Schizosaccharomyces pombe: one gene and its partner. Changing the gene in region 2 together with the main gene of any one other region gives a genetic interaction. Each region holds a gene or a part of one and is shown on either strand. Other genes may lie near its edges.

What was found. Genes that interact genetically often act in the same process or in processes that back each other up.
Region 1: mutations in alp16 (region 2) and pfd3 together harm fitness more than expected from each alone (negative genetic interaction), as found in Schizosaccharomyces pombe (2 studies listed by BioGRID).

The regions. Positions count from the first base shown.
Region 1 is NC_003424.3:599,669-603,692, forward strand, and holds pfd3 (prefoldin subunit Pfd3), read right to left. Parts: upstream 1,851-4,024; 5' UTR 1,818-1,850; coding exon 1,807-1,817; exon of another isoform or gene 1,758-1,806; coding exon 1,659-1,757; intron 1,615-1,658; coding exon 1,215-1,614; 3' UTR 1,158-1,214; downstream 1-1,157. Other genes in the region: inositol phosphorylceramide synthase Aur1, read left to right, coding at 1-516; SPOM_SPAC3H8.08C (transcription factor), read right to left, coding at 2,392-4,024.
Region 2 is NC_003421.2:431,098-436,951, reverse strand, and holds alp16 (gamma tubulin complex GCP6 subunit Alp16), read left to right. Parts: upstream 1-2,165; 5' UTR 2,166-2,277; coding exon 2,278-4,557; 3' UTR 4,558-4,688; downstream 4,689-5,854. Other genes in the region: ribosome biogenesis protein Rix1, read left to right, coding at 1-1,015; SPOM_SPCC306.11 (uncharacterized protein), read right to left, coding at 5,313-5,854. UniProt on the Schizosaccharomyces pombe protein: Component of the gamma tubule complex that is required for the regulation of both interphase microtubules and mitotic bipolar spindles.

The DNA.
Region 1 (4,024 bases), on a different chromosome or scaffold from region 2:
CCATCTCTTCACGCTGGATGGGCCATGCTGGAAGCACTTTTCCTTTCGCATGTGTTTCCTCGATACCGCTTCTGCTTTTATGGATATGTTCTATGGCTTTGCTGGTGTACTATGTACCTTACCCACCACTACTTTGTAGATTTGGTCGGCGGTATGTGTTTAGCTATTATATGCTTCGTTTTTGCTCAAAAGCTACGCCTCCCACAGTTGCAAACTGGTAAAATCCTTCGTTGGGAATACGAGTTTGTTATCCACGGTCATGGTCTTTCCGAAAAAACCAGCAACTCCTTGGCTCGTACCGGCAGCCCATACTTACTTGGAAGGGATTCTTTTACTCAAAACCCTAATGCAGTAGCCTTCATGAGTGGTCTTAACAATATGGAACTTGCTAACACCGATCATGAATGGTCCGTGGGTTCATCATCACCTGAGCCGTTACCTAGTCCTGCTGCTGATTTGATTGATCGTCCTGCCAGTACCACTTCCTCCATCTTTGATGCAAGTCATCTTCCTTAAATCAACGTGCTTTAAGAATATATTTCCAAAAGCTACATGATACATTGACTAGAATCGGTTTGATTCATAGTGGTATTGGAATGATGTTGTTCATTGTGTTTTTTAACTGTTAATCTGACATCCATTGAGTCATTCTTTACAATTTGTAAAATTAATTTGTATCACTAATTTTGAAGGAAGCTATTTTGGTATTAATACCGCTTTTGGTCTCCACTTCCTTTTCGAAACTCTTAACAGCGATTAGGCCGGGTATCTTCCAGTGTGATGTATAGGTATTTGTCGTTTTTTTATCATTTCCGTTAATAAAGAACTCTTTTATCCAGCTTCTTACACTGTCAACTGTTGTGAAAGGAACACATTTAGAATTTCATTTTCCTTATTTGTTGTGATTTAAATCGTTTGACATAATTTTAAATTTGGTTTGAAATGTGTGTGAGAAGGCTTGTTTTATTCATTTAGTTTATTGCTTGTTTGCACGAAAATCCAGAACGGAGCATTAATGTAATCCTTTTTTATTCTGTAAAGCGTTTTTATACAAATGTTGGTTATACGTTTCTAAAATAAGAATATTGTTATAATAATATAGTTTTTTCTATCATTTGTTACACACACTAAAGAGACATTAAGGATAAGCAAATGTGTTAAAATGATAATATATTTTGGAAACATTTATAAAGAAATTAAGCAGCTTTGACTAACTACATTTTTGTTTTTTTCCTAAGCAAAACTGTATAGTTATACACGCGAGCTGTATTCACTTCCATTGTAGTGACTTGAGCTCTCAAAAATTCCAAATCTTCTTTACATGCTTTCAATGTTTCTTCCGCTGAGTTCAGCTTCTGCGTTAACAATGCTTCTGCCTCTTCAACCGTATACTCAAGCATAACATTTGCACCTAACCAAAGGTAGACATTGTCTTTAGCTTCTACTTCTGCTTTTGCATTTAATGTGTCATTTAGTTCATATGTAACAGTAAAAGAGTCACCTTGTCGCTCTTTCAAGAACTGAACACTCTGTAACGTTTTTCGAATGTCAGGAATTTTGTCATCCAAACTAGCAACTCTCCTGACCACACTAGTCTCCATGAATTTGTACTTTCTAAATTACATTATATTAATATGAAATAACATATATATCCTTACGCAATTGCTTCTTGGAACTTTTCGAGATGACCTTGAGCTTCCTCCATAGATAACTCTTTGAACTCAAAAAATTGAGCGGGTGGAATTCCCCGTGGATTTCTATTCATATTAGTTATTTTTTTAAAAAGTATTATACTTCAGTACATACGAAGAACTCATTCTCTATGCAACAGAAAAAGGGGCGGTTGTTTTGAACAGGTAACTGAGTGTCAAAGGTAATAGGTATAGTAATGTTACAAATTTGGAAATGCGTATTATTCCCTAATTACCAAATCTAACCAAGTCTGAACTACACAGTCTAAATAGGCAGAATATTTTGGTTATACACATGTAATTGATAATTGTTGCAAAATCTATTCATCCAATTTACCAACCATAACCTGTATAGAACCATTGCGCAGCGTAATGCATTTTCATTTGAAAGTACTAGCGAGAGTTTTATATCACTAAACTTTTTAAACGTTTTTTAATTACTTGAAATCACATATTTTAGTTAAACATATTCTGTTTGGAAAAGGCAGTTTTGTTGAAAAAATTGTATTTGAAAGACAACTTTATAGAAGGATAGTAAGAAAGTTAATTCCTAAATGGTCTATATTGAACCAAAAATAGTTACATTAAAAAACGAGAGTCATTAAAAGAGCAGATAAATTTGACATTAGAACCACTTTGGAACATTAATCGAAATTTAATCAATCATACAAACAAAAAAATTACAAAGTGCTCGTTTAGGTCACTGATCAAGAAGGGCGGACGGTATAAAGTAATTTGAAGTAAAATCAAAAATGTCAGCGAATAATTTAGAGGGATCCTCCGTGGTTTCAGGTTCTGCATCTTGCATAGGCGGTTCATTTGGGTGTAACATACTGTTGATGAATCTTAAAACATATCCAAATCGGACAGCCATGCCATCATCAAATGTTACGATATCAACCATTCTTTCTTGTACATATAATGTTATGTCACCTAAGTCAGAAGGCACCTCAAAGCCTTTATCACGGCAAAACGCAGCCAACATGAGGGCGTGGATAATCTCCAACAACGCTACCAAAAGCCAGCCTCGTTTTTCTAATATAGTGATTTGAGATATGAGTAGCCTCACGCACTGAATACAACTTTCACCCAAATTACCAATAATAGTTTCTTCATCTTCTAAAATCCCTGAATCCAGGGTAATAAAACATTGATACAAATTCACACGTGCAGTCCAGAACACCATTTTCAAAAATATGTATCGAAATTGAATATCTTCATTAGAAGGGTCATAAAACTTTGCTTCTATATCTACCAAAATAAGCGAAAGCTGTGATTCATAACTCTCCAGTTTATCAATGAATTTACTAACGGTGAGTGAATGAACAGATTTATAGATTGAAACACCACAATCAAGTAACCTTCCAAGAAGTAGATGAAAATTGTAGCTAATATCGTCATTAAAAAAACAACGAAGCGGCTTGAGACGACCATAAGTGTCGTGTTGAATGAATGGCGGACGGTACTTTAATACACATTCCAAACCATCAATTTCACAGAGAGCAAACCACAAATCTGACGTATTTTTTCCTATTTTTTCCGTAACTTGGAAGAGGGGAGTTACTAAGGTTGATACGTGAATGCTTCTACATAAGTCAGTATTCACTCCTCTTATTCTTGTGCGAAATTTTGTTGCATACGCTCGCAAAAGCAGCATCTGAATTATTTCTTTATCAGGCAAGCATAAATGTTTATATTCCTGCTCGGATATCTCGTTAAGTTTTAAATTTATAAGACGGCTGGATTCCAATGGAGTAATCCCCGCCGAATTATAAAAATTGAGAATAACATCAGGCAAATCGCTCAGCTGGATAGTTGCAGCAATAATTGGTAATAAAGTGAAGGCATCTTCGTACGAAAAAGATTCTGGTGATTCAATGTTGTTTAAGCTTTTTTCTACTGTCTCTTGATCATAAATAGGACAGACAACATTTAGTGTTTTAAAAAATAAATTAACAATTTTCTGTGATATGCAAAATGGCGGTAAAAGGTTCGCCAAACTCTCAACAACCACATTATCTTTATAGCTACTGTAAGCCTGAATTGAAAACGAAGGTCGAGATGAGCACATGTCGCTATCCTTTCTATATTTAATCAACTCAAAGAGTGATCTCCATCCATAAAAATCAAATTTCTCATTTTTTTTCGGATTAATATCGGGAGAAACTTCCAGTGTGGTTTCAGAATCAGAAGCATTTTCGCTATGACTAGGATGTGGTCCGACGTTCATTTTATCAATGGTATCATCTGCGTAAGTGCAAACCTCGTTCCTTTCTTTACATCGAGAGCAAGGCTGCTGACGGTCGCATTTGACCTTGCGGCGCCTACAAATT
Region 2 (5,854 bases):
AGCATTACCACGTTTATTACGGACCAAAATAGATCTTTGCACCTTGCAGATATCTTTGTCTAACCCTACCTCAACAGTTTTGATATCTATGCATAATTTACTCCTTGCGTCAATTTTATCACCGGGAGATTCACAAGCAGTGATAGTACCTCATGCAATACGTATAATTTCTGGTCCATTAGGGCTTGTACATCCAGATCCTCTGGTCGCTTCACACGCAAGGTCATCGATGCAAACAATAGAATCGCTGATTCATCCTAGGTTCCCACCTTTGCAAAAACATCTTTCACCAAGCGAATTTGAAAATACGTTTGAGTCAAGATTTGAGCCTGTTTCTCTTGAAAACCAATCGCATATTTCTCCACCCCAGGTGGATTCTCAATCAGAGTATAAAGAAAGTAGTATTTTGGCTCCATCAAATCCTCCCTTTGAAACAGAGTCGATTACAGATTCCACTGAAATTGAAGGGATCAAAGAGTCTTTTGCATCTACAGATACAGGCTTACAGAATAATTCTACAGCTACCTCCGAGAACAAAAGAAGCGAATCAGAGCTGACTATGTCTAATGTTCTTTCTAATGAGGGTGACAGAAATGAAGAAGGTAGTGAAATCAACTCTTCTCAACCTTCAACTATTAATCACGGGACTGATCACATTAACATTGTTTCGGAAAACAAGGAAACAACTGTTTCACTGTTGCATGGAGATGTTGAGGTTGAGGAGACTACAAATGTTGCATTAAACAATTCTCAGGACACTGAAACCAAATTTACTGCTATAGACGTTGACTTTGTTGACCGACCTACTAGTGTAGTTTCAAGCCAAATTGAAAACATAAATGGTGATGAAAATGGAAACACAACTTCTTCAGTCGTCGAAACTTTTGAAAAAACAACGGATGTCGTAGATGAGAAAACGACTTCTATTAATGTGGAAGGAAACGGAGAAGATGATGAGGAGGAAGACAATATCTCTTTGCCAAGTATAAACTTGGAATCTGATAGTGATAGTTAGTCTTAATTTATAAAAAGGATTTGGGGGTACTGAATGTTTATTTTAAATTCTATTTCTAGATAAGTAGGTTGTCATTTAATCCAAGCTGATTTTTATAAAGTCCTGTATGTATTATCGTCATGGCAAAAAAGGTACATCAAGCTGATATTTGGAGGTTAAAATCAATTGATTTTGACCTCCAGAATACATTGCTTATGTGTTCTCCTTTTTAATTAGCTAAATTTTCCAGTAATACAAAGTACAAAGTCTTGTGTTATCCGCAAAAATTTTTAATTAATCATTTTTATACCATTGGTGTCACAAAAATCCCGATTATTTTAGAGTTAGACTGTCGTTTATGTTTTTTGAGAAAGAATTAAAACAACTTATCTAGTCTAGTGTTTAAAAGAATTTTATACTGTTTCATTAAGAATAATGAAGATATCCCTTTCCAAAGGCAAAAGAAAAGTCGATAACTATATAATGCAAGCTTCTAAACAAACTTGAATTAGTGATTGCAACATTTCTTTTGCCAACAATATTTAAATCCTTCATTGCTTGACACATGGTTTTATGAGAAAAATTAAGAAAGAACATTAAGTACTTCAAATAAATTTGTTGAAGGATCCAAAATTCTCCAAATAGACTTTTTTTATATGAAGATACCATTCATTCAGCTTTGACTCGCATGCGAGCTCTCTGGACAATAAACGATCAAGCCAGCGAGGTATACTGTAACCATAATATCACGAATAGTACAATAAACTTTTTTTTAAAAAAATCTAAATGTACTAACCAGAGAAGCATAAAAGAGCTCTTATAGTTCCATAAAGGATACGTTTTATCCACATAGCACTCTCTTAAAATTAAATGCTGGAATGTCGTTTTGGATAGATTATGCAATTGTGCAATAGTAATTCCTTAACAACTGATAGTTTTTGTTCAATTTATCATTCTGTTTTATTCATCCTGGATACCTTTAACTCCATGTCAGTATTTTCTGTTGTACGGCCACGAGAGTACGGATTTTTGAATTGGTTTCAATGTTAGGATCAATTACTAACGTTCCATTTCTTAGTTTAAGAGACGCATACTTCATTCACATCTTCTAATCCTGACTGTTCTAGATAAGAAGTCATCTTAATTCGCTACGTTAACAACATTATACATTAACTACACACATATTGCCAAATTTTAGTAATTCATAACAAGAGTGTTTTCCAGTAAAGGAGTTGGATCTTGAAATGTACCACTAAAATAGATGATTTTGAAATAAAAATGGAATGGATGGAATTATGAAAAACGACTTGTTATGGTTCGGCAACCACGTTTTCGACCTTACGCCAAATTCATTTGATTCTGATTTTGTCGAGCAGCTTTCGAAATTTGAGGGAAAAGAAGGATTGAAGAGGAAGTTATTTGACTCCTCGGAATACTTTCAAAACTTTTCATTTCAAGTAAACGATGATCTGTTGGGAAAAGATGTCATTCTCGATATTTCAAATCAACAACTAACACCCGCTGTGCCTGGGTGTGAGACATCATCCAATTCCAAACTCATAAGCGCATCTAAGGAAATTACTTCAGAAAGAAAAAGAGCTAAATCCTCAGTGTCCCCCTCTTATCTTACAGATTCATCACCCAGCGATTTATCTGTCGAAAACAAAGTTCTGCTAACATGCCCTAGCTGGGATGGAGAAAATTTTAAAAATTTAGAAGCTAGATCTCCATTCATATCTGAAGCGCCTTCTCGGGTATATGATTATTTTCTTCATAATCAGGATTGGAGTCCGAAACCATTATTTTCTGCACTGCAAGTTTACCCTTTAGCAACTATTTTCAATTGCGTGGCTGGTTTACCACAAGGATTTGAAAGCACAGTGTTTCCATGGAACAAAACCTCAAGCACATTTGAACTCGATCCGACCATCTCCGTTTCAGGAATGTCCGATGAATGTTTTGCTAGTATCGTCCAGAAATTTTCTGCAATTGGGGGTTTAATAAAAAAAGCTTTAAATGAATTCTCTTTATACAAGACCAACATTTCTTTTTATTTATCAAATTTCATTGTGAATGGTGTCTTGCAGTATCGAAAGGAGTTTCAGCGTTGGCTTCGTCTTTATGAGTTCCGTAGATTCGGTCTGATTGGTTTAAGTAACTTTGTTAATTCTTTTTCTTCATTCTTTGAGTTAATTTCACACTTCTTAATAAAATCGGCTCAAAACCTAAAAGGAGATTCCTTGTTAGATTTTCTTTTTGATTATGCGCGTTCATGTCAGAATACCATATCTTACCCCATTGCCCTACAGTGCTTGATATATTGCTCAAATCCCTACTTCAAAAGGCTTGAGCTTGCTTTAAAAGTTTCTTGTGCGTATGGTCACATTGATTCTTCATTGTTCTTATCACTTCCCCGTTTTTTTCCTTCTGAACTTTGTGTAAGCATTGAACAGTGTATTCAATTTTTGTCATTAATAAGGGAACAAAAAGAAATATTTAATAAAAACAACAAAGAATTTATTAACCCTTTGAACATTCGGTTCGCATATTCTTTCAACGACATAAATCAAGCTTGTGTAATAGAGGAGCGCTGCAACTTTTCTTCGCTTTCTTTTGGTAATTTGGAACAAACTTCCGTCAATAATGACAGTGAAGAATTTGAAACGCTGCTTGCTAAAATGAACATGACTCCAGATTTCAACGATAATTTATTACAACTTAAATTTACAGATGATGTGCGCAACGTCTGTCCGCTTAACTTGAATGTTTGCTGCTGTATTGCTGAGCCAATACAATCTTTTATTCTCAGTTTCTTACGTTCGACATATAAAGTTTTAAAAAACGATTTTCAGGTGTTTGATCTTTTAAATTTTTTTCATTCCACTTTTCTTTTTCAAAATTATGAATTCTCTGATAATGTCATTTCTCTGTTAAAATCAAGAAGGCTTGATAAATCTGACCGTAATGAGTTGGCTGAGGACTTGAACTCTGATGACAGATATAATTTTATTTCTCGATTGAAAAAATTCATTTTTATGGAAAAAGAAAAAAATGGGTTGAGCAGGTCTTTATCTAAGAGTATAACTTTTACATTGGATTCTGCGAGCGTTAGTGAATTTGAGGATGTGTACCCTGATTTACAATTCCAATGCCAAGTAATAGGTGCTTTACGGATATTATTTACTGATAACTCTTTAAATTATTATTCGAAAACTTTTTCTTACGTTTTACATCTCTTTCAAGCTCAATCAGACTTTGAATCATCTGTCGAATTGAAAGATCGTTCTATAGTAACAAAAACAACTATTATGTCATGGTCTAAGTATCAAGGCACGAAAGAATCTCTTTTTCAGTTTCTTTCAATATACATTCCAGAGTGTATGTTGCCTTTTACGAAATTACTGAAATCCATATATTCTCCTGACTGTCCTACGAACATACAAAATTCTGCAATTAAAAATGCGGCTTCAGTTCACGAGCAGTGCACTAAAGCAATTTATCAAAAGGTCAAAGAGTTGTTTGATACCATGAAACTCTGGGAGTCATCCATCAAAGTGTCATAACAAAAAACCAGATCCGGATGACGGATTTTTACGAGTGTAAACATGCTAATCTCACCTTTAAGTTTGAAGAATATACGATTTTACAGCAGAAAAAAATTTATAAGCACAACACTTACAGAAAATTCCTTGCATAAAATGATAAAGAATGTAAAGAAGTATTTGGATAAATTCATGAGTAAAGTATTTACTAGAGATATATCTTAATCTAAGTTTAAACAACCTGTGCCAAACAAAAGGAAATTAATTTAACAAAGAAAGGGATGAAGAATTAAAAGGAATCAAAATAGAAATGAACAGTCAAGCTTATGATTGATTGTTTGAAGATCAAACATATCAAGGTAAAGTGCCATGATCACAGGAAAATACGCAATGTAGTTTAGTAAGTTATTTTGGTGCAAAAATATATGCGCTTTAATGGTGGAACATACCAGTATGTCCCACTTAATTTGCTCGTTCAAAAAATGCATGCAAAAAAAAAAAAAAAGATACAAATCTGTAAATACCTCACGCAAATATAAGAGTGCAAATAAAGACATGTTGAGAAAAGAGTAGAGGCAAAAGCCAAAAGATAAAAATCTTACTGGACGCCTATCACTTTGGTGAAGTTGAGGGTAAACGGACAAGGAATGCATGAAAAAGGAAGGAGGTAAGTGATAATTTAATGTTAGCAAGGAAGACATGCAAGTAAGGAACAAGTGCCCATGTTCCTTATTTTAGATTTTTTTTAAAGAAAAAGGGAATCTATGCGAAATCCTTTACCACAAGAAGGCATTGTCACGGTAGTTAAAGACACTGGTAATGTTTGGATTTATTTTGGAAGTAGTGTTAACAATAACATGGTCATCGGCAACAGGGATACGACTGTCGTTGGTATATACACAAATACCTTGACCTTTATAGCCAATATTACGGCAAGTAGCACCACCAAATGGAGTGCGCAAAGCAGAGTTACAATTAACGGGGTATTGGGTGCCATTGAAGCAAGTGTTAACCAAGTAAGGGTAATCCGTATTACACAAAGTCATGTTGCAAGACCAATCCATTGAGGAATCACGAGTGAATAAGATGGGTTGATCAACAATGTTGGTATAGCTTAAAGATATACCGGAAGAACGCTTGCTGTGAGTGCTCGTACTTCCCGAACTAACGGAAGTGGTCACGTTGATAACATTTGCATTGTCAAAGTTGGAAGAATTAGCGCTAGTGGAGTAGTTGGAGGATCCGATCTGACAAAGACCGCGAGTTAGTCCGTAGGAAGAATTGGTTTCAACACATGCGGAACCACGACCCTTGGGAT